2 linked regions of the Mus musculus genome follow. The protein of the gene in region 1 binds, or shares a complex with, the protein of each later gene. Links are inferred from orthologs where the notes say so. Each region holds a gene or a part of one and is shown in the gene's direction. Other genes may lie near its edges.

What was found.
Region 2: the proteins of Nfs1 (region 1) and Fdx2 are in contact, whole or in part, in a cryo-EM structure (PDB 8RMC), measured with the Homo sapiens proteins. The link is inferred for Mus musculus from reciprocal best matches to the Homo sapiens genes NFS1 and FDX2. Residues at the interface, in NP_066923.3 of Homo sapiens: Gln153, Lys157, Leu160, Asp161, Arg164, Ala168, Tyr175, Ala384, Ser385, Leu386, Glu387, Pro388, Tyr390, Arg393, Gln456, His457; in NP_001384335.1 of Homo sapiens: Ala104, Cys105, Glu106, Ala110, Cys111, Pro141, Leu142, Ile169, Thr170, Arg171, Asn172, Phe173, Tyr174, Val175, Asp176, His178, Lys181.

Annotation. Positions count from the first base shown.
Region 1 is NC_000068.7:156,141,232-156,145,674, reverse strand, and holds the start of Nfs1 (cysteine desulfurase, mitochondrial), read left to right. Parts: upstream 1-1,488; 5' UTR 1,489-1,534; coding exon 1,535-1,655; intron 1,656-2,216; coding exon 2,217-2,308; intron 2,309-3,432; coding exon 3,433-3,549; intron 3,550-4,443. Other genes in the region: Romo1 (reactive oxygen species modulator 1), read right to left, coding at 1-73, 1,086-1,216.
Region 2 is NC_000075.6:21,070,560-21,074,934, reverse strand, and holds the start of Fdx2 (ferredoxin-2, mitochondrial precursor), read left to right. Parts: upstream 1-1,403; 5' UTR 1,404-1,428; coding exon 1,429-1,546; exon of another isoform or gene 1,547-1,616; coding exon 1,617-1,671; exon of another isoform or gene 1,672-1,753; coding exon 1,754-1,860; intron 1,861-4,375. UniProt on the Homo sapiens protein: Electron donor, of the core iron-sulfur cluster (ISC) assembly complex, that acts to reduce the persulfide into sulfide during [2Fe-2S] clusters assembly on the scaffolding protein ISCU.

The DNA of each region.
Region 1 (4,443 bases):
GCCAAACGTGCCGCCACTCTGCATCATGGTTTTCCCAATGCCGCCCATTAGCTCCCGACCCCGCATTCCGATCCTGAGGAGGAAACCAAGAAAGCAATTTGGGAATACAATTACAGGAATAGAGATTTGAACTAAGTACCCCCCTTTAAAATCTGTTGAATATATTAAGCACTAACAGCTTGACAATCTCATTTGTCATTCTTAAAATGCTACTCTTCCCCACATAGGATTAGCAATGACAAGGAAAATATCTATCTAGGGTCTCTAGGACCTGTGCTGAATGCTGCATTAGTTTGTAGATGCAGAGATAATGAAGTACATGGGCAAGAAAGCAGTCGTGTTTGTGCCTCTATGGTATTTTATCATTGAGTAGCCAGTTTTCTTCTAGATAATTCCTTAGTGTTTTGTTTTGTTTAACCTAGATTGAGTCAAGCGCTGCAATTTATAAACTGCATAAAGTGTAAAATGGACATTACAGACTCGGTAACTACACTTTTTAATTTATTATTTATTATTATTATTATTTATTTTGAGACGGTTTCTCTGTGTAACAGCCCTGGCTGTCTGGAACTCACATTTATATACCAGGCTAGTATCGAACTCAGGAATCTGCCACTCCGTCCAGAGTGCTGGTGGATTTAAGGTGCTCACAGCTAATGCTCGGTGGTTAACTACAGTACTTAGCACTACAATTAAACTAGTGCTGGGTAAATAGTAATTTATAAGCACAGTATCCAAATGTGATAGCAGTTTATCTCAGAGGTAGAATATTTCACTACACCTAATTCTCATCAGGCTTGCTTCATTACATGCAGTTGGGAGTTAAAACGCCATGCAACAATAATAACCCTTCGCTAAGTAATTACGACGTGCCAGATAATGTAAATCATACTAATATGATTGGCTCTTACAAAAGTGGAGGTAAGTGTCCAGTACTCCACTAAACTCAATAACACTGAACTAACAAAGGAGTCAGAAAGCCATTTTGACTTTAGAACTCAGATCCGTAAATCCTGTGCTTTCAACCTCGTCTGAGTGGGCTCTGGAGCCCTCGGAAGGCAGGAAGTTCTGTCCGCGAGGCTCACCTGAGACAGGAGAAGGTGCCGAACAGCGCCCCGGCCGCCATACCCACTGCGCAACCCATGACGAAGCCCATCTTCACGCGGTCGAAGCAGCTGGGCTGGGACTGCCCGTAGGGACCCACGGCCACCGGCATCTGCGGCGAGAGTGCTAGGACAGTGAGGGCCTGGTCACCAGCCGTGGCGTCGGCCAGGGGACGCACAGCAGGGTCACATAGCACCCGGGTCAGAAGCCAGCCCGCGGCACGCCTCCACCACCCTCGCGATGGAGGACCCCGCACGCGCGACGCAGGCCACTGTCGGGCCCCACCTCACCTCGTTCTCCGCTGCGATCGCTCAGCTCGACGTCTCACTCCGAATGCTAGGCGGAGGGCGCTCGCGGTCCGTGGGATCGCTTCCGGAGCACAGCGCAGTTACTTCCGGGAGCATGGGCTGAGGACTTGCAAGCGCCGCGGATGGTGGGCTCTGTGGCTGGGAACATGCTGCTGCGAGCCGCTTGGAGGCGGGCGTCGTTGGCGGCTACCTCCTTGGCCCTGGGAAGGTCCTCGGTGCCCACCCGGGGACTGCGCCTGCGCGGTACGTTCCCTTTCCTTTTCGTTCCCACGGTTTCTGGAGGAGCGAACCCCCTTGGGTCGGTGCTGCTAAGCACTGCATTATTGCGGATCCTACCCGCCTTGTTCCATCGCCCAGTCTCTTAAACCTTCCCGTCGCCCGGTCTCCTATTTGTTTTCGGGAGGGCCCTTACATACTGCTCCGCACTTCCCTTGAGCGGAATTCTCATCCTTCAGTTCTCTCCTGACCAAGTCTTAAAGATGCTAGATGAGCTTCCTCCTGCCGTGAACCTTTGAAGGAACCTGCGCTTTTCACTTTTCTTCTAAATGGCTTTGCTTTTTACAGCTCGTCCCACTCGGTGCTATGTAGTTTAAACATTGCCCCCGACTGCTGCTGCCCGCGCCCTTTCCAAGAACCCTGTGTCTATTACTTAACTCGATGTCTTTCAGCGCGTGTTGTTGTTTGTTTACTTTGACACTGGACCTCCGCCTTCCTTAAATTCACCTCAAAGAAGCTTTGACCATCTGTTGTTTTGTGTGCCCTTCGTCCACGGTTTCTCACTTTGCCACTGCTATCTGTTGTTAGTTGTAGATCATGGCCCCCATTCGCCTGTTCACTCAGAGGCAGAGGCAGTGCTGCGACCTCTCTACATGGACGTACAGGCCACCACTCCTCTGGTAAGGACTAACAGAGGTTCTTTGTAGGGAGGAAAGGTTAGAAGGACAAATTTCACCGACAGGCTAAAATTCATCCGACTTGAGAACTATTAAATGTGCTAGGAAAAGGAGCTGCCAGGAATCAGGAGGCTAAGATGTTAGTTTAGTAGAAAAGGCTTTACTGTTTTTTAGCTACTGACCCTGTCAGATCCTTCCAGTACAGGCATTATAACTAATAGTAATTGCTCGGGTGTTGGAGCTGGACAGTGTGGCATGGGTAGTTTGAGTGAGCTTAAGACCAGCCTAAGCCACATAGGGAGTTTCAAACCTATGTTGTTATTTTGTTTTGTTTTTAATTTTATATATACACAAGGACACTGTAGCTATGCTCAGACACTCCAGAAGAGGGCATCAGATTCCATTACAGATGGTTGTGAGCCACCATGTGGTTGCTGGGAATTGAACTCGGGACCTCTGGGAGAGCAGTCAGTGCTCTTTAACTGCTGAGCCATCTCTCCAGCCCCCTCAAACTTTTGTTTGTTTGTTTGTTTGTTTGTTAAATGTGCCAGGCATTGGTGGCACATGCCTTTAATCCCAGCATGGGGGGCGGGGGCAGAGGCTGGCAGATTTCCGAGTTCAAGGCCAGCCTGGTCTACAAAGTGAGTTCCAGGACAGCCAGGGCTATACAGAGAAACCCTGTCTCAAAAAACCCAAAAAGAAAAAAGAAAAGAAAAGTGTGTATCAGCACACCTGGCAGGCTTATAAATATGAGGTCAGATTCAACTACATAAGACCTTATCTTTCAATAAGTAAATGAAAAAATTAAAGAAAGACTTGTGGGAATTGCAGAACATTGCAGTTTGAAGTGGGCAACCTGGCAGGCTTATAAATATGAGGTCAGATTCAACTACATAAGACCTTATCTTTCAATAAGTAAATGAAAAAATTAAAGAAAGACTTGTGGGAATTGCAGAACATTGCAGTTTGAAGTGGGCATATATCAGGTTGCTATTTGATTAGTGTCTGAGAAGTGGAAGAAAGCAGAGAGTATCTGAAAGGTTGGAAATGCACTGAGCAAGGTTGGCAGGTAATGGTGGCTCGAGCAGGTTCTGAATTGACTTTGGGCTCTGTTTTCTTCTGTTCAGGATCCCAGAGTGCTTGATGCCATGCTCCCATACCTTGTCAACTACTATGGGAACCCTCATTCTCGGACTCATGCATATGGCTGGGAGAGCGAGGCAGCCATGGAACGTGCTCGCCAGGTTAGCACGAAGGACTGTGAGGAGTTCCAGTCAGTGGTCTATGTGACCTATTTCTTTCTTACAGATGGAAATAGCTGTTTTTCTAGAAGAGACTCAGGTAGTAGCTCTGGAATTTGACACTAAGTGTTTAATTAGTTCCCAGCTTCCCTAGGTGACCTCTGACAAATCCGCTCATTTCTCTAAGCCTTGAACTCCTCATCTACCAAGTGGAAAGTGAAATAGTTCATGCTGTATAAGATTATTGGGGAAATTAAATGAGGCAGTGCTCGTAAGGTTAACACTTGTGCATAACTCAAAACACATGTGGAAAGAGTTCAATAAATACATTTTTAAAAATGCATTTCGCGGGTCAATGGGACATGTCCATGGGTACCTTAACACAATGACTTGAATTTGATCCCTTAAATCTCCGTGGTATGTGTAGTTTTGTCTACACCACTTTATGTTCTTGGCTGGTTACACCTGTGTACACGGCCCAGAACCTATCTCACATCCAGGAATAGGAAACCACACACACCACGAGCTGGAGAGTTGGCTCAGCCGTTAAGAGCACTGACTTCTCTTCCAGAGGTCCTGAGTTCAGTTCTCAGCAACAACATGGTGGCTCACAACTGTCTGTAATGGGGTCCAATGCCCAATTCTGGTGTGTCTGAAGAGAGCAACAGTGTACTCACATATTTAAAATAAATAAATAAATCTTTTTAAAAAAGAGCCAGGTGATGGTAGCGCATGCCTTTAATCCCAGCACCTGGGAGGCAGAGGCAGGCGGATTTCTGAGTTTGAGGCCAGCCTGGTCTACAGAGTGAGTTCCAGGACAGCCAAGGCCACACAGAGAAACCCTGTCTTAGTAAATAAATAAATAAATAAATAAATAAATAAATAAATAAATAAATA
Region 2 (4,375 bases), on another chromosome or scaffold:
TTTTATTATTTTTTAAAACAACCAGGATGATTATCACATCTACTCCCCCATCCGTCCAGAAAAGCCCCAAATTGATTCCTTCAGGGTCTGGCCTGCCCAGGCTCTATTCCACATGTGCAGGTTCCAACAGCTTAACCCTATTCTCTTCCCAGTCATCTGCTGCAGGTATAGCTGTCTCATGCCCCTGCCTGCCTATTCTGGCCAGTACCCTAAGCCCCAAGATCTCCAGCCCCTGCCCCAGTATCCTTGCCTTCTGATGCCTTAAAGTTGGGCCACAGGTCCTGCTGGGTCAGAGCCTCACAGATGCGGAGCTCCAAAAGCTCCGCTCAGGACCAAAGAGCTCTGGCCTAGGGTTCATCCTTTCTCCAGGTGTCTGCCCTGTGGACAGAAGGCTAAAGCCTTGATCTTGGCAAACCACCCCTTTTGCCCAAAGCCTGGATGCAGAGACCAGTATTTTCTGCTGGCTTCAACAGTCTCCCCTGCTGTCTGTGAAAGGTGACCATTGTACCCAGGCCACTGGGCCTCTACCATGTTCTTTCAAACCCAGGTCATTACCATCCCCAGGCTGGATCACTGGAGCAGGCCTCCTCTCTGTCCATGTGAGGGGGACCTAGGGGCTCTGCCCTTAGCCAGCTGAGCCACCACCAGCCTCCCTCCCCAAACATGATAACCCAAACCCACTCCAGTGGGTGTATCTCACCCCCTCACCCCACCCCCACCCCCTGCATAGACCTTTGCTGAATTAAAGTTTGTAAGTAAACGGTTTTAAAAAAAAAATCAGAGCTGGCTGGTTCTTGATATAAACCATGGGCCAGCAAACTAGCTCAGAATTCTGGTAACACAGACAGCCTGAGTTTTATCCCTCTGCCCCAAATGGTGGAAGGAGAGAACTGACTCCCGCAGATTGACCACTGACCTACACACATGTCACGGATGGGCTCATACACACAATCCCTAAAAATTTAAGTTGGGCTTGGAGGCCAGCCTGGTCTATATGAATTGCTTAGAGACTTAAGAATTTCTCAGTCTATAGAGATTCTGTCTCAAACAAAATTTAAATACTGGTTGCACATAACCGGTAATTCCAGCAAAGGAATTCGGAGATCAAGGCCAGACTAGGGGATCCTGTCTAAAAATTAGAGAACTCAGAGGTTGGTCCCAATTGCCGAACGTAGTTTTAGTTCCCAGCCCCACACTACCCATCAACTCTTCTGGGCTCCATAGGCACCCACTTGGTGCACATACGTACATATAAGCAGAACACATACAGTACGACCTAAGGGAAGAAATATCCAACCACAGGGCGAGGCCGGAAGTCCAGCTAGATCCCAGTGCATCACCTTTGACCTCACACGGCGCCCAAACGCTGCGTTTACTGTCGCTGAGGACGCGCAGAGCATGCTAGGTCTTCCGGTCACGTGGCCTATCATGGCCGCCTCCATGGCCCGGGGCGTGAGCGCCCGGGTCCTGTTACGGGCGGCCGGGGGATCTTGGGGACCCAGGGCCGGGCACGCGGCGGTAACATCTAGGACGTTCGGGACTACAGGTACATAGGGCTGGGCCGAGCCGCGGCGTGCAGCGAGGCCGCAGCCGCTCACCCACTCGTGTGTTTCCAGGCGAGCGGCGTGCTGGCGAGGAGGCGGCGGACAGCCCGGAGCTGCCCCGGGACGTGTGAGTGCCCCTCGTGCCACGCCCTGCCCCTCCCTGCCACTCCCTGCCTCCGGCTCAGCACCTGCACCCTGTTTGTCCCCAGGGTCAACGTGGTGTTCGTGGACCGCTCTGGCAAGCGGATCCCGGTGAGGGGCAAAGTCGGGGACAATGTTCTATACCTGGCCCAGCGCCACGGGGTGGACCTGGAAGGTAGGTCATATGAAACTAGGGAGATCCTTGGCATTCTTATACCTTTTTGTAATTTTGAGAGGTTTCCTATAGCTCAGGCTCGCCTCGAACTTACTATGTATCAGAGGATGACTTTGAACTGCTGACCCTCCTGGGACCTGGTGTGCACTACCACAATCCAATACTTTTGTTTAGGTGGTGTATGGGTGGGTCCGATCTCACTCTGTGAATCAGGCTGTCCAGGAACTTAAGTATGTAATCCCGGCTAGCCTCCAACTCATTGCAGTGAACCTACTGCCTCCACTTCCTGAGTCCTGAGACTACAGGCATGTGCTGCCTACCATATCACCAAATAGGTGGGATGGGAAGAACTGAGATGGAGTCCATGTTATTCAGGCTGTTCTGAAATCAGCTATATAACCAGGCTAGGCTCAAACTCACAATAGTGATGCCCCTGCCTCCACCTCTTTAGTGCCAAAATGGTTAAGACAGAGTCTCTGACTTACCCTTAAACCTGCTGGCTGATCATACTGCCTTAGCTTTCTCAGTTCTGAGAATACAGGTTGTCTCTACTGTTTTACCACCTTTGCGCTAACGCCAGTAAGATGGCAATAATGAAACTGGAAAGGTCGCCAGTGCTGAAGACTGCAGACGGCTTGTGAGAAGACCTGTGTTCTCTTCCTACCACCAGCTCTGTGCCAGGCAATTCACAGCCTTCTGTACCAGTAGTGCCGGGCACACTACCTCACCTCCATGGCACCTACTCACATGCACAACCCACACAGAGACACATGGAAACACTTAAAAATCTTTCTTTAAATTAACACTAAAATAAAACTAGGTTTTGGAGCAGCCCTTACTGAGCTGCTAGAATCTGTGCTCTCTTGGAAATTGTGGATTCTCCATGTTGACCCCCCATTCTCTAGTGCTGCCGCTGACTACCTTTTGGGGAGAGGTGGAACTGAAGCGGGATCACAGATGCACAGTGCTGTCCCTCACCACTCTCTTGCTGTTTTTCAGGCATCACAGCTCAGTCCTGTCCTAGCACCTCTGTGCTTATAATGTGAGAGGTGATTTCCCAGCAGATGACTTGGCTCCTCATTCTTCAGACTTGACAGCCTGGCATCCTTTCACCCAGCTTAAGCCTCCCGTGCCCATGTCTGTCTGTATTTAGTGGCCTCATAGAGCCTGGCTTTCATTTGCTTTCTGACATTTCTCCCACAGCCTCTTTCACACCTTGGCCTCCCAAGGCCCTCCATGTAAGCAGGTCTGAGATCAGTGTATGTTGAGTGCTAATTCCTTGGGACAGCTTTAGGAGTAAAGGGGGCAGTAGTTCCACCTTGCAGAGCAGGGAGCTGTACACCATATTATGGTAGGCAGGGTCCAGAAGCAAGAGTCACATGGCAAAACATGATTCAGACATGGGGCATTTCGTCCTCTCATGCCTCCCTTGAGTATCACCCTTGAGTGTTTTCTGTATTGTATTTATTTAGCGTGTATGTGTGTGTGTGTGTGTGTGTGTGTGTGTGTGTGTGTGTGTGTGTGCATGCATGCACGTGTGCGTGTACATGTGTGTGTGCACGTGCATGTGTGTGTGCATGCTTATGCCTCGCCGTAGAGGTCAGAGGATGGCCTGAGGGAGCTGGTTCACCCCTTCCATATTGTTTTCCTAGGGATTGAACTCAGGTCACTGGGCTTGCAGTGACCCCTTAACCCAGTCAGAACATTTCAGGGCAACCATCGACTAATAACAAGACCCTGTTTATATTCATACCCAGCCTGGGTAACTTAGCAAGAGTCCCTGTCTCAAAAATTATGACAAGTTATGAAAAAAACCTGCCACCTCCCCCAAATGACAAGAGTCTTTGTGTGAATACTATGTACTGTGTATACCAAAGTGACAGTCTTTTGTCATAGCATGCCGTTCTGAGCCTAACAGGAACTCTAAGCCCAAGAGTAAAGACAGGTTGTCATTGGCAGACAGTTGGAAGGGTCGGTGCTGGGTTAGTGGTGCAGCACTTGGGAGGAGAGGCTGTCTGTGACTTTGAGGCCAGCCTGGTGTCTACATAGCAAGTTCCAGGACAGCATACACAGTGAGTCTCTTTCTCAAAACAAACCCCAACCAGTAAAAAGCACTAGAGAGGTTGGGGGGCGGTGTGTGTGTGTGTGTGTGTGTGTGTGTGTGTGTGTATGTATGTGTGTGTATGGCTGATTCTGTTCCCGAGTCCGGCAGGCACTGTGCAGAACAGAATTTATAACAGTTCGGAAGCAAACAATTCATGTCTCTCGCGCCTCACCAGCTTTGTAAACTCCAAGCCGGTTTCTCTGAGCCTTTTGTTTCTTCTTTATAAAATGGTAGATTTAGCATCACTTTCAATGGCTTGTTGTGGGAATGAAAATAATTAATGCTTGGTAGAGAGGAGGGTCGACCAACAGCCAGCCCCAGGATAAAAAGGTGACTATAGATCCCCTAGCCAAAGGTGCACGAGCCCCGTGGTGGGCACTCCTTTGTCAGAAGCTGAGCGTCACAAGGCCT